Linked DNA regions of Arabidopsis thaliana. The protein of the gene in region 2 interacts with the protein of the main gene of each other region in a pairwise test. Each region holds a gene or a part of one and is shown on either strand. Other genes may lie near its edges. The genes, in order: PRMT4B, AT3G22440, AT3G21215 and PAR1.

The links.
Region 1: the proteins of AT3G22440 (region 2) and PRMT4B interact in a two-hybrid assay, tested with the Arabidopsis thaliana proteins (one large-scale study listed by BioGRID).
Region 3: the proteins of AT3G22440 (region 2) and AT3G21215 interact in a two-hybrid assay, tested with the Arabidopsis thaliana proteins (one large-scale study listed by BioGRID).
Region 4: the proteins of AT3G22440 (region 2) and PAR1 interact in a two-hybrid assay, tested with the Arabidopsis thaliana proteins (one large-scale study listed by BioGRID).

Annotation. Positions count from the first base shown.
Region 1 is NC_003074.8:2,184,106-2,191,280, forward strand, and holds PRMT4B (protein arginine methyltransferase 4B), read right to left. Parts: upstream 5,283-7,175; 5' UTR 5,192-5,282; coding exon 4,997-5,191; intron 4,683-4,996; coding exon 4,620-4,682; intron 4,496-4,619; coding exon 4,393-4,495; intron 4,131-4,392; coding exon 3,987-4,130; intron 3,832-3,986; coding exon 3,728-3,831; intron 3,371-3,727; coding exon 3,272-3,370; intron 3,187-3,271; coding exon 3,117-3,186; intron 2,940-3,116; coding exon 2,843-2,939; intron 2,765-2,842; coding exon 2,710-2,764; intron 2,586-2,709; coding exon 2,502-2,585; intron 2,368-2,501; coding exon 2,290-2,367; intron 2,173-2,289; coding exon 2,069-2,172; intron 1,963-2,068; coding exon 1,790-1,962; intron 1,684-1,789; coding exon 1,526-1,683; intron 1,445-1,525; coding exon 1,364-1,444; 3' UTR 1,038-1,363; downstream 1-1,037. Other genes in the region: AT3G06920 (Tetratricopeptide repeat (TPR)-like superfamily protein), read left to right, coding at 1-344. UniProt on the Arabidopsis thaliana protein: Methylates (mono- and asymmetric dimethylation) the guanidino nitrogens of arginyl residues in several proteins involved in DNA packaging, transcription regulation, and mRNA stability.
Region 2 is NC_003074.8:7,957,426-7,963,112, reverse strand, and holds AT3G22440 (FRIGIDA-like protein), read right to left. Parts: upstream 3,361-5,687; 5' UTR 3,260-3,360; coding exon 2,347-3,259; intron 2,013-2,346; coding exon 1,837-2,012; intron 1,737-1,836; coding exon 1,227-1,736; 3' UTR 742-1,226; downstream 1-741. Other genes in the region: AT3G22450 (Ribosomal L18p/L5e family protein), read right to left, coding at 1-670; AT3G22436 (uncharacterized protein), read left to right, coding at 5,093-5,215; AT3G22430 (RNA recognition motif XS domain protein), read right to left, coding at 5,508-5,687.
Region 3 is NC_003074.8:7,440,768-7,447,600, forward strand, and holds AT3G21215 (RNA-binding (RRM/RBD/RNP motifs) family protein), read right to left. Parts: upstream 4,546-6,833; 5' UTR 4,465-4,545; coding exon 4,294-4,464; intron 3,971-4,293; coding exon 3,791-3,970; intron 3,712-3,790; coding exon 3,636-3,711; intron 3,439-3,635; coding exon 3,309-3,438; intron 3,193-3,308; coding exon 3,078-3,192; intron 2,755-3,077; coding exon 2,663-2,754; intron 2,547-2,662; coding exon 2,477-2,546; intron 2,389-2,476; coding exon 2,306-2,388; coding exon of another isoform or gene 2,269-2,305; exon of another isoform or gene 2,209-2,268; coding exon 2,106-2,208; 3' UTR 684-2,105; downstream 1-683. Other genes in the region: MKK5 (MAP kinase kinase 5), read left to right, coding at 5,150-6,196.
Region 4 is NC_003071.7:17,835,292-17,839,732, forward strand, and holds PAR1 (phy rapidly regulated 1), read right to left. Parts: upstream 2,328-4,441; 5' UTR 1,897-2,327; coding exon 1,540-1,896; 3' UTR 1,125-1,539; downstream 1-1,124. Other genes in the region: AT2G42865 (uncharacterized protein), read right to left, coding at 1-147, 223-303. UniProt on the Arabidopsis thaliana protein: Atypical bHLH transcription factor that acts as a negative regulator of a variety of shade avoidance syndrome (SAS) responses, including seedling elongation and photosynthetic pigment accumulation.

The DNA.
Region 1 (7,175 bases), 5.8 Mb from region 2:
TGAAACCCAGTACTATTTCTTACACCACCATGATATCAGGACTTGCAAAGGCTGGGAATATTGCAGAGGCTGGGGCGCTCTTCGATCGGTTCAAGGCAAACGGTGGTGTTCCAGACTCTGCTTGTTATAATGCCATGATCGAAGGTCTAAGTAACGGAAACAGGGCAATGGATGCTTTTTCTCTTTTTGAGGAAACACGTCGAAGAGGATTACCTATCCATAACAAAACCTGTGTTGTTCTTTTGGATACTTTGCATAAGAATGATTGTCTTGAGCAAGCAGCTATTGTGGGAGCTGTTTTGAGGGAAACGGGAAAGGCACGGCATGCTGCCCGATCTTGGTAGACAGTTTATCGATAATCTCGTTTCTTGTATAGGAAAACCAAGACATTTTGGGTTATGTCTGATTTCAGTTAAGTGAGCATTCTGAAGCACAAGTATCCCAAGTTTTCTGGAGAGGGCAATGTTTGTTTGACATCTGTCAGTGTTCACAGATCGAGAAAGATGGGTGTTCTTCACTGGAAATATGCTCAATAAACACCAGATAATTACTTCTGTTTCCCTTCTTCGTTTGTATCATTTACCAGAACCTTCATGGTAACTTCCCCATCCAGATGAATCTTCTGCGTTCTTCCTTATGTTGGACCTGCACCTTCCGATTCTTATCATTGCCATTTTTGCAGGATTTGAAAGGAGACTATTGCTCGGTCTATATGTCGACTTCGGTATGAGCTCTTATTCATCACGAAGGTTGTAATTTCTGTGACTCAAGAGCCAGCCTCTTATTCAGTGAAAGCAGGAATCTTTAAGGAGATTGTGATTTGAAGTGAATTTCATAAGAAAGTGTCTGTTTTGCTCTGTCTTACATACACTGAAACTACACGAGTTTGATAGAGACGAGATAACCTCCTTCAAATTCATCTTTTGCTCACCTTTTGACTTTAATAATATGTTCTACGTCTGTTTCCATTGATAAAGTTCTCTTACGATTCTTGCTCGAGTAAAACTATCATTTTATCAAACCATAGAACTCAATTTAGAAAGACATGTTTTTCTGATAAATGAACTCGATTCTTGATTCATTGTTTACATTGCGTGTGGCTTTTAAAGATAACGTAAATAATTGATAAGTTGGGTGTGAAAAGAAATACACAAAGAAGCAGAGACTTTTCCATGGAAGCAATGGGAATGATAAGATCTTTCCATGCTCATCATTTTGATCTTTCCATACCAAAACTCATAAAGACACCAGAAACATTTTTTTTACCTTTTTGACGTTACAAACAGAAATCCCAAGCTCAAAATATGACTGAGATTCAAAGATCCCAATTATCATCTCTCACCTTCATTTCACTTATTAGCTTTTAGAGCTGGGCACTTGGGTTCTGTGGCAATTGTTGCAGTAACTCTTCTTCTAATTCATCGTTTGGTGTTTGTATGTCCTGCTAAGAGTAAATGCATATATATTGGTACACATATAAAAAGAAAGCAACCATACCTATTCTAGTTGCTGAATGCATTTTTACCTGTGTACTTAGCTCTGGTTGTGGTTGTAGAGGTGGTTCTTGTGCAACAGGGTATGCTTGTGGCTGAGACATTCTATAATAAGGTTCTTTCAGATCGAATTTGCATGTCGATGATTGGAGAATTCCGCCTTGACTTGCACCGGGCCCCCACATTTTAGCTGTTAAAAACCCATTTTGTTATCAGATCAGGAAAAGAAGTTGAAAGTTGGTTCATGGTGCTTTCAAATGACGAAAACACAGAAAAAAAGAAGAAGCAAACTGCACCTGATAAAGTTAGATCTATGGTGTAACTCTGAGCACTGTGGGCTATCAAATGAAGTCTACCAGTGATCTCTTGACCTGCCATTACGTAAATAGGCTGCGAGAGAACACATCTGATTTGGTACCAATGCGTTGTAGGTGCACCGGGAGCAGTTGTGAGCCATCTTTGGACCGTGCTGTTGAAAATAGAGTAAAACGAGTTTGAAATATAAATCTTCAATTGCAAAGAGAAACATGAAGATGAAAAGTTTTGAATGAAGAAGAATAAAAAGCAAGAGTTACCTCCCGTCAAAGAGAACGTCAAACCAGCAGGCAAGTCCATGCATTCTGGTGCACATGGAAGCAGTGAACTTCAACGGGATATCAATCTCGTAAAAATCTTCTTCCTAGGGAAACGAATTCAGGGGTAAAATGAGATTGTAAGTCATTCACCCCACCATGAAAGATCAAATTTCTTGACATAATGGAACGCTGAGGAACAGTCTTAACTAGTGTATGTATACCTTCATTTGAGTGAAATCTATCATGTGGAACATCGGAGAAGCCACTAATAATCTCGGATCAAATGCATCAACCACGGGCTGTAAAATCCATAGATAATGATTCATCAATACCCGTTATGTTGAGAATAACCAATATGTTAGTTGGTGCAAATACATATTTCGATTATGTTGTGTGTGAATACATATTTCGATTATGTTGTGTGTGAATATACCTGAGAAAAATAACCTTGGTGCGCTGATCCATATAGAGGTGTCAGATCAACTCCATAATAGTTCTGCTGTTGCCAAAACATAGCCTGCATAGAGGAGGAATGTATATTATTGAATGCTTAAGACTTCATAGAAAAACTGAACTAAACCAGCATATTTTGGAAAAAATTCTGGGAAGTAATTCTTAGAATAACCAGTTGCATTCCGTACCTTATTTGCCATCTCAATAAATAAGAATTCATCAGAAAAAGGTGCCATGTGAATCCTACAGTGATAAAACTACATGAGAGTGAAGACATAGTAAGAAATTAAATAAGGAAAGGCTCTCAAAGGTTGCCTTTACCTTCCGACAGTGGGAAACATTTTGCCTTTTGGAGTCATAAAACGATCCCTAGCAATTACATACGATTCTAACATTCTCTCGTTGACCAATAAGGTGCCTGATTTAAAACATAAGACTTGTCATTCAAATGATTAATGGAACTTTCAATCACTAGTGATGTTTTTACGCATATTTTTCTCTGACCAAGGTTTTTTCTGGTCTAAAGATTCCAAGTTTTGTAATTTTCAAAGGAAAAAGACGCACAAAAAAAAAAGTACGTCTCTGAGATACATACCCATCGGTTCAGAAATCAAAATATCTGCTTTCTCAGGCAACTCGATATCCTCAACTTTACCCTTGATGACCTACACTTGTGCAAGCTTCAACAACATCAGACAAATGCATATAACACAACTCTATATACTGACCAAATTGAATTAGAAGTCTTACTGTGATTCGGTCAGCGAATAATGGGTTTCCAGCAATCAGCTTACGAGCATACTCAGCCATTTCTGATGCTTCAACCGCATACACATGTTTGGCACCAGCCTAATATAGCAGAAAATAAAGATATGTATGAAGAAGATGAAGCAAAAATTCATAAGTACCATAACCATCTGATAGCTATGTCAGCCGCTCACACCGAGACATAACTAGAAAGTAGTTCACATTTACTTTGGCATTACTACCTTTTGCATTTATGGATCACCAATTCGGTGGATTAAGGCAAGGAGAGGTTCGAGTCAGAGATGTATTTGTAAAACTATATTGAGGACTTCGCAATAAACAAGCTTTCTTTATTCATAGTCTAGCTTTACAGATAAAGCTCTGCCTATCTATCAACCTCTTCTTGTTTGACCATAGCAAAGTCTTAGTTCTGTAACCTATAGCCTAAATATTAAATACCTGGGCCGCAAACATTGACAAAATGCCACTCCCAGCACCCACATCGACCACAACACGACCAGCAAAATCTGAATGATTCTCCATGACTGCGGCATAGTACGTACCTGAAGACATGAATGAGGTTCATAAATAGTTATTCCAAGACAAACAGCGGTGAGAAGAAAACAGAAGATATTCGTATGATGGGTTTGAATCGTTTAAAATCAAGAAAACTGGAACAGTTTTGAAACAAACAACACATTGAGGCCAGATATTTTACCTGTCCGCACATAATCTTGTAGCATATTTTGCTGATGTAGAAGTTGTCCATAATAATGAAAATACATTTTTGCCGATGACGCCTCTATCTTATTGTCGAACTTGCTTTTATTAGCTGAAACTGTTCCATTTTGCAAGGATGATCCTAGAAACGGAAAAGTGAGAAGACAGTAAAGGAGTATGCAATAATATTATGCATAGATTTTGAAATGGGCAATGACAGTGAATGCACAAGTAGCCACAGAGAGAAATTGGTTCTTTACAGTCTGAGAAAAAAACATAGATTTTCATAAAACTATTCTATAATGGGGCTTCAATACTTTCTTAATTAAAAGCCAGAAGAAAAGCAAACATAAGGCATTCATGCTATAACACCTCCAAGAAAGTAAATTGATACAATGGCGCACCTTGAACAACAGAATCATTTCTCCACTCTTCAAAGGACTCACAAAAATCCTTGCTATCCTTCTCATTTTTGAATTTTATATTGACTCCTTTGGAGAATGATTTCTGTTTCACAAAATCATTTCATTATGAAGAAAAGTGGATTAATAAAGAAGGCGAGACAAGATATTCACTTTAAAGAATAACTAAAGAAATTGATCCTGCTCCCAAGTACTCAAACATAACGTACCTCCTCTGAAGAACTTGAACCATCAGATACACAGATGAAATGGACTGGCCCCAACTTGAATAACTGAGGGGAAAAACATTGACAAAGATATAATACGATCAATGCACGCATTCTCAGATACAACAAGACCCAATAAGATTATAAAACATAAGCAAAACAAGTTTTACCAAAATTCAAACTTTCAGAATTAAAATATATCGTCAATTGTAAAAATTAGTATGAAAACCATCTTCAATCTCAGATTAGTTACAGAAAAATAACAGAGTTTCGTCATCTTCATGTAGCAAAAACAAACGTTTTAAACGAGATGGGAAAAAATAATCAAAACCGATAAGAACCAGCGGAACAGTAACATAAGCATGTGAATCGACATTCACCTGAGCGGAAGCGAGATCAAAATTGAAACAATGGGTCGAATCCGATTGCAGAAATCGGAGCTCCGTGACTCCATCAACGTAGGAAAACGTAGCTACAGCTGGAGAGGACGACGAAACGGAAGACGAAGAGAGATCAGTGACTGACTCTAAAGAGTACTCCAGCTGCTCAAGCTTTTTCACAGAAGATACCTCCATTTTTACAAAACGATGCGAATGTACAGATACAGTCTCTGTATGTGTGTGTAAACGAAGCTTAAGAATTTTAGGGTTTTTCTGCTGAGAGTTTCCGAACTCTCTGAGAGGGAGAAGAGTTAAAGCCGCCAAAAGGAGTAATGAAACGGTGGCATTTTCGTAATTTTTACTATGATTATGGGATAGGATTGTAAGTTACATTTATTAATTCTTAAACCAATTTCATAGATCAAAAAGTTCGAATGTGAATGTCATACATCAACCAACAAGTTCTGCGAAGAAAAAAAAGCTCGCTTTGATCTGAAAACGAACGAGATCTTTATTCTTCATCACACAAGAAGAGAAGAGATCCAAAATCATCTACTACTTTAAACTAACCAAAACATCCTAACAACTAAGTAGCTTTGCATGTTTTCTTGTTATGTCCTAGTCCCTTGCACTTGCTACACTGTAGCTGACGTTTCATCATGTCCAACGGCTCAACCTTCTTTATCTTTGGTCTTCCCGGTGTCCTCCGTGTGGGTGGAGGAGTCACGCAAACTAACCCCTCCGGCGGATCATCCAGCATCATCCTGTCCATGTTTGGGACAGGTTGAATCGACTCTGCATACATTAACCGGTGACTCTCAACTGTTAAGTACGTAGAGCAATACTCATACGGGCTTTTCTCTATGCATCCAATCACGGCAATTGCATGGCTACAAGGTAACCCAGTTAGCCGCCAGGTCTTGCAGTCACAATCACACTGATTGATATCAACTATACTGACCGAAGATTCTCCTCCATTAACCTGGAATAAGCTCCCTTCTGGCGATGAAACCTGAAGTAATTGCGCAAGTTCTATTTCTTTCTGTAGCTTCTCTTCGTTAGATGGTGTTAGAGTTGTGACCCATTCCCGGGATTTAACCTGCCTGGTATAAATAGATTGCATCATCTTTGCTCGAAATTCGTCAATCATTTGGGTAATGGGAAACTCATGTGCTTCAGAAACCCAGCTGTAGAAGTCTTTCCCAAAGTTTGAGTTCATCTTGTTATATCTCTCTCCTTGGAACAGCGCATTTGCCCAATGGTGTGGTTCACTTTCTATAACCCAGTTGTAAGCATCAGGAGATATGCTTTTTATATTCTCCAAGGCAAGGTAATAACCCACGGGTGTTGTTGCATATGCCACAGAGTAGAAATCGTTGAGCATATACCGTCTTGCTTCATGGGAAAACTGCCCCTTCAAGTCCACATTTAGTTTTTCAGCAAGCTGGCCTAGACAGTATGCATGATGTGCGTCTTTTTCAAAGACCTGCGCTATCGCATTCTTCAGACCATTCTGGAAATCTGCAACAAAAGTGATTATTCGCGACTCAGACAACGCAGTTTTGAGTTGTTCCAAAAACCAAAGCCAGTTCTCCTCTGTCTCTGAATCCACAATAGCAAAGGCTACTGGAAATATGCCATCTTCAGCGTCAGAAGCTGTTGCAACAAGCATAACCCCTTGGTATTTTGAGTTTAAGATAGCGTTGTCAAGGAACAGGAGAGGGCGGGAACCTTGTTTAAACCCAGATATTGAAGCATAGAATGATATGAAAAGACGATGGAAGCTCGAATCTTCTTTTGTCATGAAAGTGGCAATACTGCCAGGATTTGTCTCCTTGATCTTCTCACAGATTAGGGGAAGTTGACTATACGCCTCTTTATAAGAACCCTGTAGCTGCTCTCGGGCAATCTCTTTTGCCCTCCATGCCTGTGAGTAATTCAACTGAATACCATACTCTTTCTTTATGTCCTCAGCGATATCCTTGGGCTTGTAGTCTGGGAAGGCTTTCAACTTCTCTTTCAAGATGGTTCTTACCCATCCTCTAGTTGCACGGTAACCAGGTTTGATGACAGCTCTCTCACAAGTGTGCCTCGGGTTCATTTTCTTGATACATATTAACTGAGTCGTTGATAGCCTCGATGCAGTGATACGCCATGGACAACCTTGAGCTTTGCATTT
Region 2 (5,687 bases):
CAGTTACAACCTTACTAGTCACCCTGTGAATCACACATGCTCGTACAGACTCTTTCGAGATGTATATGTCTAAGCAAAACGGGTAGTGAAATGGCGCCGTGAGTTGGTTAAACGTAAATGTTCTTTCTCTCTTCTTCACAGCTTCATTAGGATGATCCGTCTCACCTGTGAAAGAGTCATTTCTCTTCTTGTATTCGTCACGAACTTCCTTCTTGTTATCCTTCTTTATCTTTGTTTCTTCTTCTTGGTTTTGCTCCTTTTTAGCGTTCTTGTGTTGATTCTTGCGGTGGAAGTCATAGTTGTATTCCTCGAATTCTTTTGAACCTCGATCGAGCTTGAAGAAAAGATCACCGCGAATTCTCATGTTATCGATTTCATCGTGATCGGGATCTTCATCATCGAGTATTGTTTCTCTTACTCCTTGTATTGTAACGGGAGAGTTTTTTGCAGTGTCTGCTTGGAACTGTCTCCAAGCTTGGGATAAAGATGATGAAACATGCCAAACATCATCATCCACAGTTTCTATACCACAACCACTCAAACCAGTCACTGTAACTTTACCACTTTCACTGTTGGAAAATCTCGAGGAGAAGCAACGCGGTGCAGGTCGAAAAACGGAGATAAAATCTGGCAAACGGAGACACTTTCTTCTCAAAACCATCAAAGCCATTGAAGGAAAAGAGACCAATTCTGAAAACGCACGTGAAAACTAAACGGTAAGATTTCAAAGAGACATATCGTCGAACATCTGGTGTGCAAGGTTGGTAAAGAGAAATTTCTCACCACTGGCTTTGTGTCTTGTACCGAAATTGAATCACCACTTTGCTCAATGAAGAAGAAATGCAATTCAACAGAGAACTGGTGGGTATGTCTTCAAAGCAACGACCTCCGATGTTAGATTTGATCGGAGATAGTTGGTGACGAAGAGAAGTTTGTCATTCGATTAACAGAGTACAGAAATATAAGTTTGTTGACTGAATATTAGACATTACAAAAGCTTGAGTTTTGTTTTATATGCGATTAATAATAAACACACCAGAGGATATAAGCTAAGTTACTAAGAGAGTTAGGCTGAGAAAGAGATATTACAGACAAAAACGACGACGTAGGAAGACAATAGACCCAGAGAGAGAGAACACCAGAGTAGTAGCAGTTGTCACAGTATCAGTGATTTGTTGGTTATTACCAATCTTCTTCCTTGTTTTGTTGTCACACTGTCTTCTAATTCAGTAGTAATGTTGCTGATGGTGGAATTGGTGGTGTTGATGATGGTGTGGGTGGTAAACTGGAGGAGCTGGAGCAGGAACTGGACCATTACAATAACCGTTGTACGCTGGGTAACCGATAGGAGAGCCTTGGTATGAGCCTGGGATGATCTCCGGAGAGTATGGATAAGGTGGGCTTCTGTTGCTGTAGACTGTTGTAGGTGGGGATGGGTAAGCTGCTGGTGAAGCGTATTGAGGAGAGTGAGAGGGTGATCTGATGAACGGGAAGGAAGAGACGTATGCGTTTGTGATACGCCCGGCTTTGGCTGGTGGCATTGGACCGTTGTAGCTGGCTCGGGTTCTTTTGTTGGCAGGAACAGCTGCTGGCTTTCTCTTCTCGGTTTTGGTCTTCTCTAGCTGATCCAACCGTTTCTTGAGGTTCTCTGGAGGGAACTCTTCCTCGAGTTTGTACTCTTCTATGCATTTTAAAACCGCCTTAAGTGCTGATTGCTCCTTGCGCGCCACGAGATGCTTAGGAAGAAAACATAACAAGGAAGATATTAACTTTCAGGGACGCACAGATAAAAATATTTAGCTGCGATAGAAATGAGTAGATGCAATGAGTAGATACCGTAGCTCGGCCAGTATTGCTAGAGTCCTCCATGATAGAAGCTGCTGACTTCTTTGCGTCCCTTAGATAAGCTTTGAGCAAAGGAACAGGAGGGAACTTATCCACAAGCCCAACTTCATAAGTAAAATGAACAGCATCAAGCTGTTGTCCCCTGCTGATTAATTCTTCAATCATGTCTGTGGACAGCGCAACAACTTGTAAGTTCAGATATTATAAAACGAGATACAGAGAAAAAGGCTTCAACTTCACACAGTCTGTGGTCAATAACACCTTGTACCACTAATGTCTCAGACTTCACCACAATCTATGCCATACAATGTTTGCCACACAAACTTAATATTCGACTAATCAACTCGTAAACTATTTGTAACCTACCAAAACTATACATCTAGATGGGTTAAACTATTAGTAAACTAGCCAATTTCAAAACCATATATGATCTCACAAGTTACAATGAGCATGCCAGGATAAAAAACTAATAGGTAGAAGATAAGAGCTTAAGAGGATTACCAGGCATTTGATCACCCAAACCAACAGAAACCGCAAGCTTAGGCATCTGTTTACGCCACGCAGATCCAACAACAAGCTTTCTATACAAAGCAAGATCTTCACTTTTAACAATTCCAAATGTAACAAGATGCTGCAAAAACGTATGAACATCAGGAGTCTTCACATTCTCTATCCTTCCTCTCTCTTCCAAACTCTTCTTCCACGTCTCAGCAATCTCCTTAGCTTTCTCCTTAACACTCGGAGTAACAAGCAACCTCGATTTCCCAATCACTGGATCAACAATTACAGGTGTTAAACTCTCAAGAATCACAACACAAGCCCATCCATAATCATTGCTAACTTTATCTCCTCTTGTATCCACCGGAAAAACCTCAGATATCGCTTCAAGCACTAACATCGCCGGATCTACACAATCAACCAACGCCGCCGGAATCTTTGACCGGAGATTCTCCAACTCCTTCTTCCTCGCCGTCACAAAGTTCCAAAAACCTCTCGCATCCATTTTAAGACAAAGAGATTTCAAAGCAGAAAGAAGACCTTCTTCATCGTCAACATCACCGGAATCATCATTAGAACCATCACCACAACCATCTCTAGCTTTCTCTAACGATTCAAGAGCAGCTCTAGCTCGTTCACCTACTTTCCCAGCTACGATCTCAACGCTATGGTCGATTGTTACCTCTCTACGCTTCAGAGACTCGAGCGAGGTCTGAGTCTGGTTATCTAGAGTTTCAATCATCTGCTTCAACGCTTCAGATTTCTTCATCAGATTCTGCTCTAGAGAAGTGAAGTGATCGGAGAGCTCTTGCCATAGAAGAGTACAGCTAGTCATCAACGACGTCTGTTTCTGAAACTCCTCGAAACTCGGCTGAGCTAACTCAGTTAACTCGCCTGGATCGGGGACTGACCCCATCGCCGGAATCGGAAAAGAAACTCAAACTCCGTTGATTTGATTGATACAGCAGAGAAGAATAAACTCAAGAGAGAGAGTGAAATTGAAGAAACCCTAGAAATGGGAAAAAAGTAAAGAGACGAAGAAGAAGATAAGAGACAAAAGAAACAGTGACGTGGACAACTCGAAATAGCGACACGTCTCAGTGGAGTCTGATTAAAGGCGCGATTATTACATATTCTTCTATATTGCGCCGTCGACGCGTAGCTTAGCGTGATATGCGTAGTATAAGAGAGTTGGGTGATGACGTGGTAATAATAATAAGTACTATTACTATAGCTTTGCTTTAATTTTTCGTATAAAGAAAAAAAAAGGTGAAAGAGATAAGTGGGCCAAGCCCACTGACCACCACATGCGTTGAGTCGGAAACCAGTGAAGCATTGCCGGTAAAATACCAATTGAATAACAAAAAACTATATAGTATAGCAAAAAAAAAAAAATGTTGTTATAATTAATATGAAATTCTTTGTGTAGTGTAATGTAGTAATGTAAGAAGAAGAACAATGCATGTGTTTTGTAGAAAAGGCTGTAATGAAATCAGGGCACGCGTGACAAATGTTAAAACGTGATAATGAAGCAACCACAAAGAAGATTCATTAGTACACATATAAAACTAATCTTCGTACTATGTTTTTAATATCTTTGTGATATCAAAACAGAAGAATAGAATAAAAACGAAATTTTGAATTTGGTTTTATTAAAGCTATTGCTTTTTTGACATCAGTGGAATGGATATATCATAAAAACTTTTTTCTGTTGATATGTACAAAATGTTAAAACGGGACAGTGACATATAACACATTATTGAGGGGAAATATCCATTACTCTTTTAGACCTCTTGCTATTAGAGTATGATTTTATAGTTACAAAAAGGTTAGAGAAACATTACAAAATTAGAATGAGACGAAATATGAAACTGACGGCTAAGAATAATTTATCTAATTAAATGGGTCCGTAATGGCCGACTACATATGAACCGCCGATTACTGTTTCCGCTTTATAGAAAAAGTGAGTAGAGAAATTTGAAAAATGTGAGGGAGATAATCGAATTCAAAAGAGATAATGATTTAAATTTATGCATTGATTTGACCTCAGTCTAGCTAGTCTTATAGTAATATGATTATGACATTTTACATAATCTAGTCTTTTTTCTAATATGTTTAATTCTCTTATAGTGCATGTAACTCTATCAAAAGATACAAAGTACTTTGTCCTGCATATTGTACATTCATAAAATTATATCCTAGTTGTTATGATATTGGCCAAACTATAATCCTATATGTTATATTAACTTTCACTACCGGATAGTGCTTGATTACTTTCATAAGTGTTAAGGTTTATCTTAAATTCTTAATCACACGGCCTAAACCGAAGCTGATCAAACTTCCTTTAACAAAACGTGTAAATTGGTAAGCCAGAGCGAACCAAAGATTTGAATGAAGACATGTAATAAAGTTTATCAGAACACAAGAAAGTAGAGGGGAAAAAATCGTCAAAACACTTTATACCTAACTTGTCAATTAAAGAGTTATAAACAAAGACAAAACAAAATTTATATAGTGGTTACCAAAAGCCCCCACAAAATACAAGTCCTCTTATCTAATGTTTATTTTTGTTTTCATACCAATTTATAATTTTTTTTTTATTTTTTTTTATTCAAAGAAGATAGCTAGCTTAAACTAAACACCACCATTGTTGTCACCAATCTAAGGTGACCAAATACATAAAGCTACTACCAGAGTGCAAACAAAAACAATAACTCAATGTCATAGACATCATCAATACAATGGCACTATGGCAACATTGTTTGGTTGGTTCAATATTCTCATTTCCATAGGCTGGCTAAAGCCTAAAGAACAAGCAGGAACCACTATTCGAAAGGATGAGATAGAACAAGGAAAGAAGAAACGAACGTAGGAGAATCAACAGGGACATCAAAAGCATCAAGCAACTATCACAATATACTTCTAAGGATGTTGGTAAAGAGAACTTGTATATATCAGGTTCAACCGATATTAGACTATGCAATATGAACACTGAATCGAAGGATCAAAGAGACCAAGACTTCATCTATAAATTAAAAAAAAAAAAAAAAAAACTTTCGTTCCTCCTTTCGAGTTTTTTAGGTTGCGACTAAGAATCCAGATTCAATAGGCAACAAATACCTCGAAAGTTAAGTGTACCTTTCGTGGGAGAAGAAAACTGTAATTTACTTTGTTCTTGTGAGTTCTCTAAGGCTCTCGATTGTGGTTTTCTTCTTTGTCTCCACATCGACTTTGTCCAAGTCCGTTACAGTCGCGAGATAACCATAAAAGATCCTCTTTTTCTCTCCCGTCCTCCCATCAACCTCGACAAGACCAGGGTTTTTCTCATCATCTTTGCTTGGAGT
Region 3 (6,833 bases), 520 kb from region 2:
GCTTCCACAAACTTCCGATTTTTTTCTTAGGGTTTTTAAATTATGTGTTATGCAGCATTGCTAATTATGGGATAATGAGGTTTATATTTATGGGTTTTGTGCAAATGTTTCTTTGCTTGTAAAAAATTATACTTTGGTTAATGCGTTTGTTATCCCTTGCATTTTTGTCAGGTTTCCTTAGCTTCTCGACAAGGAAAATGCTACATCGTTTTCTTTTAAAAAAAGCAAAATAGTAGTCTCTGTCTTGCTTGATGAGAAAATAAACAAACAATTTGTCTTTGACATGCACGTTGAAAGTTTTCCTCTAAAAACACGTAAACGTATTTGGGCCTAATTCAGAAAGGCCTAAAATGGGCTGAGAACGAGTATGGGGACGGCGTATATCCGTCTCAAAGAACCATTCAAAGCTGAAACAATCAATCGCGACAAGGTTCACTTCTCCCTCTCCAAAATGGTCCGATGGAAAGCCTCAGAAACCAGGCACGTTACTCACGATTCTCCTCCCTCTCCGTGCGTTTGTTCCACCAATTTGATCGACATCTCTACCTTTTGCTTGATGATCTTTACTTGAACAACTTGAAGAGGGGTTTCAATCTTTTACCTCTCAGTTCCGTTTTATATTTTTTTTCTTCTTTTTATTAACCTCCCAACTCTTTATCTTGTTTTTCTTGACAGTTCTGCGCTCAGACACACCTGACGTTTAAGAATTTTCTTTTAAGACCATGGTTTTGTGGTTTTAGATGTTTTGCTTCTCTGGAAAGTTGGTCTAAGGAATGCACAAACCCTTTTGTGCAACAAATCTTTTTCTTTGTTGTCTACAGTGATGAAAGCTTGAGACTCGCCAATCATAATAATGAAAACATGTTTCTTACTTGAGAGTTGAGACACTCCTTTATCGATTCTTCTTGGGTTGTCTCTTGGGTTAATTATATTACCTACCTCTCTTTACAGCAAATTTACCATGGTTCGAATTCAGAGAAACAAAACATGAAACTAGGCCCTAGAGATCCTATACCTCAAAATCTGATAAGTAAGCGACCAATTATACACACATTGTTCTTGAAAATGGAAGAGAAACTTTCTCATTTGAAGAATCACTAAATTCGCTTCTGGTTTTCACATCCAGAGTCAAGTAGCCCAAAGCCGTACAGAAACATCAGTTAGAAAAGAGATAAGTTGGATTGGATAAGTAGACTCCATTGTAAAAAGATAGGCTCTTAGGAACTCCTGGCTCTGTTCCTGGACGTCCGAAGATGACCTTACCTCAACTTTGTAGGTGAAACGCATCTCTATTCGAGAGCTTGGGCTTTCTCTTTACGGATTGTCCCTGCATAAGGCCAAGCCAGAGCTGGGAATGTATATATGTTTGCTCAACTATAATAAACCTACAATGTAATGGAATGCCTATCTTCAAATGTTATATCAGCTGTCAACTTCTGACAAAACGGATGTGCTTGTTCATCAGCCTAAGTAAGAACAGAGAATGATCGACATGGGAAATGCTGAAGAATGAAACCGATGTGATAGATCATGAGAGTAATATTCCATGTCTATGCAGTGAAACGAAGTTGATCAAACCCCTCTGGATGTTATCATGTTATGATCTAATGTAATGGTATATCAGCTAACATAGCAAATGGAGTTTCGTTAGGATGAATCAATCATGAGAGCAACATTCCGTGTCCATGCAGTGAAACGAAGTTGATGGAAGGCCTCCGGATGTTATCATGTTATGATCTAATGTAATGTTATGTTTTTTCCTAGCTAACGTTTCATTAGGATGAATCGATCAGAATGATGAAAATGAATCCCACAAAGTGATGTATTAAAGCCGCAATAAGATAAACAAATAGCAAACCAAACTCCTATATAATTCAAACAATCATCAAAAACCACACTGCGAATGCATGTAGCAGAGCTAATAGAAACTGAAACATGTTATATGTTGATGAGGTCACACTATATGCACCCAACACATGACAAAGCAATGCTGATGCTTAAAAATGTCGAGAATGGAAATGGATGAAATGCAGACTGCCTGGAAGATGCATCGTATTCGTGCAGTTGTTGGGAGATAAGGAAGAGAGTACGTCCCCCTTCAAGGCCTACTGATATGTCAGGGCTCCTTGGGCTCCATTAGCACTCGGAGAAGGAAAGAAAGAATAGCCGCCACCTTCCTTTCTCTTCCCATATGGATTCTTTGAATATGTATCATTGGGTTAAGAAGAATCAAACAGAAAAGAAAAAAGAACTTGGCATACTGGAATATTAAATAATCAGAAAGAGTAAAAGTATATAAGGATATTGGATCCTCATGCCAATTGAACCAGAACTTGGAATGACAGCACCTTGCAAATTATGGTGAACATTTGTGGCACTATTGACATCCTGCAAGTCCAGATAGAAGAATTTAACAATATGCTAGAAGAATATTTTCTGTCACATATACACAGATGGTGAAGGTCTCAGAGTTAACCTCGAATTCAATAAAGCAAACTGTATGCCTTTCTTGTCTCAGAATCTTCATTTGTTTGAAACCAGGTTGCCTGCAAAATGAAAGTACAGTTTACCGCAGAATTCTTGAGAACACAGGTCTACAAAAAGGCCAAGATCTCAAGGAAAGCAATGGACAGGAGTCTCACTAAAGGGAACAGATACTCACGCACTCAACAGGCTCCTCAATTCTTCTTCGTTTATATTCTCCCCAAGATTACCAATAAATAGGGTATTGCAAGGTGGATTATCCTTAATATTCTGCAATTGAAAAAAATTTGAAAACAACATGAGACATATATCAGATCACCAAACCTAGGCTAGATATTCATCAAACTAGGTACAAAATTTATCAAACAATCAGAAACTTTAGCAAATTCAGAGCAGTAGACAATGCATTTAAATTAGGCAACAACTATTGTTCCACAACACAACCACCAGAGAGTATAGCATGTAAGCTAATTAGAATGAAGTTCGAGATTGTAATTTTTAGGCAAGGAGAGGCAAGTACAATATGGATTCCGGGTATATAATTGCACAACCACCATATGATAAATAAAATGATGAAAACAGTGCAACTTCACCTGGACAGGCACATAAGAACTAGGAGCTGCTATAGGTGGGGGCGTAGGCATTGGTACAGGGGGAGCATGATAACCTGCATAGGGATCATATGGTGGAGGTGCAGGTGCCATATATCTGAACCAATTTATCTTCTTGTCAAATAAGCAACTTAACATAAAACGGTGTACCAAATACACATCGTCCAATTTCTACACAGCATATGAAATATGAAGGAGAAGCAAATGCCTAACCCATGAGGAGGTCCCCACACAGGAGGAGGTGGAGGATGGAAAGGAGATGGACTATACACAGAGTGTGTGCAGTCACCACCAGTTCGTAGGCGCTTACTTTGATCATAAGCATTTGAATCCCCAACAATACCTACAGAATAAAGATTGAGTTCAAAGGTTATATATGGTTTGTGATATTAACAAAGGAAGTAAGAAACTAGATAAAGGGGAGAGTGTAGTGAGACCCCGTATAAATGCACAAAACTGTATCAAACATGCTTCAGTAACATGACTAATGCTTAAGATAGATAAAATACAGCCATTTTATGTCATAAAGGTAGAGCTAACCTCTTTTAACAAAAAGATTCTTCTTGGCCATCTCTGTATGTATCACAGACTTTGACTCAGCATCAAACACCATATGCTGCATGCCAAGAACAACATATGTCATAATGTGAAGACAAAAAAGGATCTGAGTCAACAATGATCAGAAGCAGACAGACCTGAAGGGTATCTTTGGCTGCCATTGCAAACTGAGCTGTGGAGAAAAGAGCAAACCCCATGGGCTTTTCTCCCTTGAAGTTCACCTGAGAAGCCTCGTAACCAGGCAACCATCTCAAGAGATTCAAAAGCTCTCTCTCTTTTACATCATCGGGAAGCCCTGCGATGAAGATTGTCCGCAGCTGAACAACAGATTCAAACTTGTGTAAGAGATCACGTTTTCCCAAAATCAGAAAACTCCAACTACATGACAAGATAAGAGAACCTTTCTCACTTATGCAACAGGTCATAAGTGAGATTTTAGTAACAAACTTAAAAATCATTCTTATCAAAAAGGTCATAACTTTGGACAATTTATCGATTCCGTAGCAAAATCAAGCTAACATTGTATATCAAAAAGCAGGCAAATTAAAACCTCAACGTAAACAAAAATCAAGCAAGCCCATCTCGACAACACAGCACAAGAATCACCGATATGTATAGAGAGAAAGAGAAAGAGTTGAACCTCGTCATAAGGAGGACGATTATGGTTGTCAACTAAAACAGGAGGAGGAGGAGGATGGTGATGAATGGGCGGCGGATGTGGTGGAGCAGCTGATGATACTGCGGCTGGAGGAGGCGGCGCACCTGCCGGCGGCCACTGCTGGTGGTATGGGTGGATTCCGGCGCCGGCCATGAGATAAAAAAAAAACCTAATTACTCAGAGAGTCAGAGATTGATTGTTCGAAAAAACTTCTGCGGAAGAATTGACGGCAAAGAAGGCAAACTTATTTTTTAAGTCACATGCATCGCACGTGAACACTGTACCACTTTAATTTTATTTCTTTCTTTTTCTGTTAAAAACTTTAAAAAGAAAATTAGTTTTTAATTTTTTTAGAATTATAATTACTTTAAGTTTTTCTTTTTTCAATTGTTTTTATTGGAAAGAAACTTTAATCTGTATTTTCTTACTTTCTAAAAATATTAAATACCTAACACCAAATTTATAGTATCTAAATCCACGATCTTAAACACTCTTAATGATATTATAATCCAATTCAGACCCGACCAAACAAAAAACATGGTTAACGTGTAACAACACAGAGCCACACAAGTGCGAGTGTATTCCACGCTCTTTCCATCAACGCGTACCTTCGTCTTACCATTTTAACTTTTTTTTTTTTTCTTGTTTCTTACAATCATTTTCACAAATCTCTTCGATGAAGCTTCATTCTCCTCTTGATTTGATCTCTTTGAAAAACGACGAATCAAACAAACCCTAGAGTCAAGTCAATCATGATGATAAATACAAACCTGGAAGATAAAGAATCAACCTTGTGAAAAAAAAAAAAAACTTTTGATTCCCTCTTCTTCTAAAAGCCATGAAACCGATTCAATCTCCTTCTGGAGTAGCTTCACCTATGAAGAACCGTTTACGCAAACGTCCTGACCTAAGCTTACCACTCCCACACCGCGACGTCGCTCTCGCCGTACCTCTCCCTCTCCCACCTCCTTCTTCCTCTTCATCCGCTCCGGCGTCTTCCTCCGCGATCTCAACCAACATCTCCGCCGCTAAAAGCTTATCCGAGCTAGAACGAGTGAACCGAATCGGAAGCGGAGCCGGAGGAACGGTTTACAAAGTAATCCACACTCCGACGTCACGTCCTTTCGCTCTCAAAGTGATTTACGGAAACCACGAAGATACCGTGAGACGTCAGATCTGTAGAGAGATCGAGATCTTAAGAAGTGTTGATCATCCAAACGTTGTGAAATGTCACGATATGTTTGATCATAACGGTGAGATCCAGGTTTTGCTTGAGTTTATGGATCAAGGATCTCTTGAAGGAGCTCATATATGGCAAGAACAGGAATTAGCTGATCTCTCTCGTCAGATTCTTAGTGGATTAGCTTATCTTCATCGTCGTCATATCGTTCATCGTGATATCAAACCTTCGAATCTTCTTATAAACTCAGCTAAAAATGTGAAAATTGCTGATTTTGGTGTGAGTAGGATCTTGGCACAAACAATGGATCCTTGTAATTCATCTGTTGGTACTATTGCTTATATGAGTCCTGAGAGGATTAATACTGATTTGAATCATGGTCGTTACGATGGTTATGCTGGAGATGTTTGGAGTTTAGGTGTTAGTATCTTGGAGTTTTACTTGGGGAGGTTTCCTTTTGCTGTGAGTAGACAAGGTGATTGGGCTAGTCTTATGTGTGCTATTTGTATGTCTCAGCCACCTGAAGCTCCGGCTACGGCGTCTCAGGAGTTTCGTCACTTTGTTTCTTGTTGTTTACAGAGTGATCCTCCTAAGAGATGGTCAGCTCAACAGCTTTTGCAGCATCCTTTCATACTTAAAGCTACCGGTGGTCCTAATCTCCGTCAAATGTTGCCGCCGCCTCGTCCTCTTCCTTCTGCCTCTTAGTGTTTCTACCATTTTCGTCTTTCTTGTTTTTCAATTTTTCGTAGTTTTTCCTGACATTTTTCCATAAGTTTTGCATACCCCAAGCAAAGATAATGAGAAGAGTAGAAGAACAATGTGGTTTGTGATTGGGGTATGAGTCGTCAGGAAGAAACTCAGTTTGTGGTTAGGGTTTATTGAGTCTTTATCTTATGCTGCTAAGCTTGATTTGTCTTATGGGTAATGAAGAATGTTTTGCTAGAAATGGAAACAAAAAAATAGACAAGAAGAATTCTTATGGTTTAAGAGTGATTTTAGCTGGATTTGCTTATATTATTGTTTATATAAGGAAGTAAATGGAGGATCTTTCATTGGATAATTCTCATTAATAAAGCTTCTTCCTTTAATTCTCTTTATGGTTTTCTAGTTTCCGTCTTGTGAACATTACAAAGGCTACCCTAGTGCCTACTGCGTTATTTTTTCTTTGCCAGTTATGGTCTAATTATTGCGGTAAAAGTTGAAAGCTTGTTTAGGAACTTTTGTTTGAACGAAATCATGTGATGCTCTTGCAATTGGTCAAATTCAGAAAGCTTTCATTTGGTTCCATCTTTGAGCATGCATCATGCATGTAAACATCAGCTATTCACCTTGTTTCTGCTTC
Region 4 (4,441 bases), on a different chromosome or scaffold from region 2:
ACTTGCAATTCCCCTAAACCTCTTCTCAATATCACTTCTCACTTTCGTCAAACTCTCTACTTCCTTCTCATAACTCTCAAAGCTATCACCTTTCTCCATTAACCATTTCTTCAATTCAGCCACCTCTGTCACCGTCTCATCTCGCCGCTCAACGCAGTGATAAGATCATCCTGAATACTCACTCTCAAGCTCCACAGCTCCCGTCGATATAGATTCTAAAACCTTCTTCTCTTCTTCTATTTGCTTCATCTCAATCTCCATCTCTCCACACCTCTGCTTCATCTCCACTTCCAGACTTCTCATCTCCTCAATCTCTCTCAGTAATCTCACCCTCCTCCTTCAATTCCAGATTATCCCGTGTCAATTCTTGCTTCTTCTTCTCCAATTCCTTGAAATAGAATTCTATTTCAATTCACCAGAAAAAAATGATTTAGGGTTTTAAGTTTTAACTTTTAGTGAAGAAGTCGTTCCGAGGGTAGTTGACACTTGACAATATTGCCGCGAATCCTTTTTTGTACGGACCTCTTAGTGTTTAATGGGTTCAGGCCCAGTTATGTTAAGCCCAATTATAACATAACTAAGGCAATCAAAAAACATGTGGAATCGTAATCTTTTAGGCTTTTAGCCCATACAGGATGTGATTAGTTATAATCTATCAATGGTTTTTATTTTAAATTTTGGTTTGGTAAAGGATGTTGAAGTTAACATTATTGATTACAACTTCGTACTATACGATGTTCAACCTTAAATTCATCTTTGTAATGTAATTTGGATAGAGAGTAGATAGGGTTGGTAAGAAAATTATATCTTCCCCGACTTTCCGCTATGTGTGGAGTAAATAGTTCCATAGAGTTCGATATAGCTGCATTGTTGTGGGTCAGAAATTACGTTATAATGAATACTAAAACTGATATTGTTTTTTTTCTAGCGGCAAATGTGTTTAAATTTCTGTGTAGATGCTAGCTCTAGTACTTACACGACTAAAAAGATTTGTCTTGTATATGTATGTACAAGGAATATACATGAACTCTATTGTTGGACCACGGGAACTCAAATCTAGTAAGTTCATCATAAGCTTAAATAAATATCGACCGACTTTGGAAATCTTTGTTATAATAAAGCATGTGAAATGAGCTCATCCAGATTTAAAAATGGGCCACGTAACATTAACTTTCTCAATATCATTAATGTCAAATCTCATATGCAAGTGAAACCTCGTGATCCAATTTAATATCTATACTATATGGCGTCCTACTAAAATAAGTTATATAACTACATTAATTAATGCTAATTTTCGTTAATGAACACTTCTCATAACCGTGAAACGGCTTAATAAATAAATCAGAACATTAAAATTAAAGATTATACTCCTACTAAAGAAAAAAAAAATTCGAAGAAAAAAATGTTGAGTCTCTTTCCTCATATATCAAAGCTAAAATCCCATGTTATAAAAAAGGAAATAAAAGATTTGAAAAAAAAAAACGTTTTTTTTTGTTTTTAGGAATCGAAGAAAGAAGAGCAGTCTTGGTGTGATAATCTTCAACCTCCGAACTTCATGTCTTCTTGATCTATGCGTTGAAGAAACGAAGTAAGGACTTTAATGGTTTTGATCTGACATTGTAGAGACAGAATGTAACCAGCTGTCTCTTCGAAGAGCGCGTCCACACCAAGCGCCGCTCCTCCGGGGATAATCCTCTGCAACGCCTCAATCTTTTCCTTGACCTCATCTTCTTCTTCTTCTGCTTCTTCTCGGTCTTCACGTACGCTTGCGTTAGTCTCTGACAATCTCCGTTTGGTTCTGCGCTCGAAACCAGCGGCGCGTGATTTCACGGTGGCTGAGCATGACGGTGACAGAGAGCGTCTCGTGGCGTCGGGAGTGGCTAGAGTTTCTTCCATTGAAAGAAAGAGAGAGATGAATGATGAGTCTGAGAGAATAATGAACAAGTAAGGAATGTGGATATGTGTAACTGTGTGTGTTATATATATATATATGAGTGATGATGGATTTAGTAGACAAAAATGTTGAAATGTGGTCGGTTCAACCTGATTTTATTTTGGTTTGTTGCGAGTTTAGAGACAATACTCTATCGGTTTGATTTGGTTTGCTATGCTTTATGTTACATTGTTTGCTTACATTAGTGAAAGGTTCGGTTATGAACGAATTTTGGTTTGGTTTGTCTATAAAAAACGATGTAAAAATTGAAACGATATAAAATAAATTCTACATTTAGAAATTGGGAAATGGTTAAATGAGCGGTATTGCCATCAAAGCTGGGTCCAGTTGTGCGTTATTTTTAATTTTATTATCCTCGTGTTTCGGATTGTGGAGATTTATTTAATTATCTCTTACTTTGGTTGCTTCCACAGATTTGGATCTTTAGAAGAAGAGCTTTCACGCGCCATGTCGACTGGTTTAGACTTTAGTGGACTCATCACTCACTTAAGTGGATCAACCTCGCATCTAGATTGGATTTTTTTGTTTGTTTGATAAATGAGATTTGGCACGTTAAATTTGTTTGTTTAAGAGCTAGACGTTTGACATAGTAATTAACTAATTATACAACAATGCTTTATTATTGTATTAGGATATGCGTTGTTAATACAAGCCGGATTACTTTTAGCAAGTGTCTCATTTATTTATCAAGCCGGATTACTTGCTAAAATATTATTCGAACTTTAATTTAAACTCTAAATGGTTTGTGATCTGGTTTAGCCATAAATGTAATAGCTGCTATACGTTGTTTTGCATAGTTACCAGTCTTATTTTCTACAACAAGAATAAAGAGTATAAACTATTTTATGTGAGCTTAAATTTCCAAAAGAAAAATTCAAGTAGACGACGACAAACCCTATAGTTATGCACTTATGCTTATAGGCCATTCGGGTGGTGCCTGGTAATGGACTAATGCCTGATGGTATAAGAGTAAGTTTTGTCGTAATTACGTAGTACGGACGAAATGAAAACGACCACGCGCGTGGAGATAAGGAAGGAAAAGAAGAAGGATACAGTGAGACACTACTTGCATGGGAACAAGGAAGAGAGAGGAGAGGACATGTGCGGGTCACATGAATATCTCCATCTTCAAAGCCCCATTCCCATGTGCTTCCTCCTCTCTATACATTATGTACAGACTGTAATATAGTATTATTATTAGATGGATGAGATCAAATAGATCCTCTAAGAGATAGTGAACTTGTTCGTACAATTGAGGACCTAATCCTACTAAGATCCACATGATATCTATCGGGCATGGTGGCCACGTGTCAACCCTTTTTTGGGTCCCCCCCACCTCAGTGACCTCCTAAATCTGTCCTTCATTTTTTTTTTGTCAACTCCTTTTTCTTATTAAAAGAAACTCCAATTAACATCCCATATTTCTTACCACGTAAAAACAACAATCTCAATATATCTATAATGTTAGAGAAATGGCCACTATATAACAAGAAGAAAGCCAAGGAAGTTTAGTGTTATTGGATTCGAATATAGTGTTACATGTTTCTAGCTAGAGATCTTTATAATATACATCTTTTATACATAAAACCGTTATAGTAAATCTTACTTAATGTTGGTTCCATAAATGAGCCCTCCGGTGCATTTCTTTTGTCAACTATATGATATAAAAACTAGATAAAGACTTAATAAAAAATAATTGCATTAAAAAAAAACAATTGCATTTTTGTAGGTCTTTAATCCAAGATTGCAAATTAACCTAAATCTACTCAAGAAAAAAAATTTAGTAAAGAATAATGATTGACATCTAATTAAAAGAAATAATGTATGGTCTTAATTAAGACAAAGATCAGGAACAGAATAACACATTTCTTTTACGTCTAGGGTTTTTAGTAATACTAAAAATTGTTAAGATGTTGTTTTAGAAGAAGAAGAAGATGGAAGAGAGAAATAAAGAAAGAGATGATGTTTCCAAAGAGGGGACGAAGGAGGGTTTGGTTTCTCGGGATTGAGATTTACAAAAATCGGGTGCCTTTCGCATTTCACCATCTACCAAACTGACACTCTCCCCAATTCTAGTATCTATTTATTTATGTATTTGCACTTACATTAAATATGTTACAAAAATAACACACTCGAAATTTAATTTTAGCTTTTAGCCAGCTTTCACATTCGTCGTCTTGGAATAATCAATTCTATGTCCTTTTGTATCTTGTTCGTTGTTTCTATTTTTTCCAAAATAACTTTTATTTAATGACGAAAACCTAAATATTTATATCTAGGAGGAGTTTGAGATGATTCCCTTTCACTATTTATTTTTGTTGCCACAAAAATAAAAGAGAAGAGTTTGGTTAAAGACAAGACAGTATATGTTTTTTTAAGAATTAAGAAAGGGGAAGATTAAGAAAGAAAATATGTAATGTTTAGCTAAAAAACTCCAAATCAAGGGAAGTTAATTAGTTATCTTCTCTTTTTTTCTATAAAGGCTGG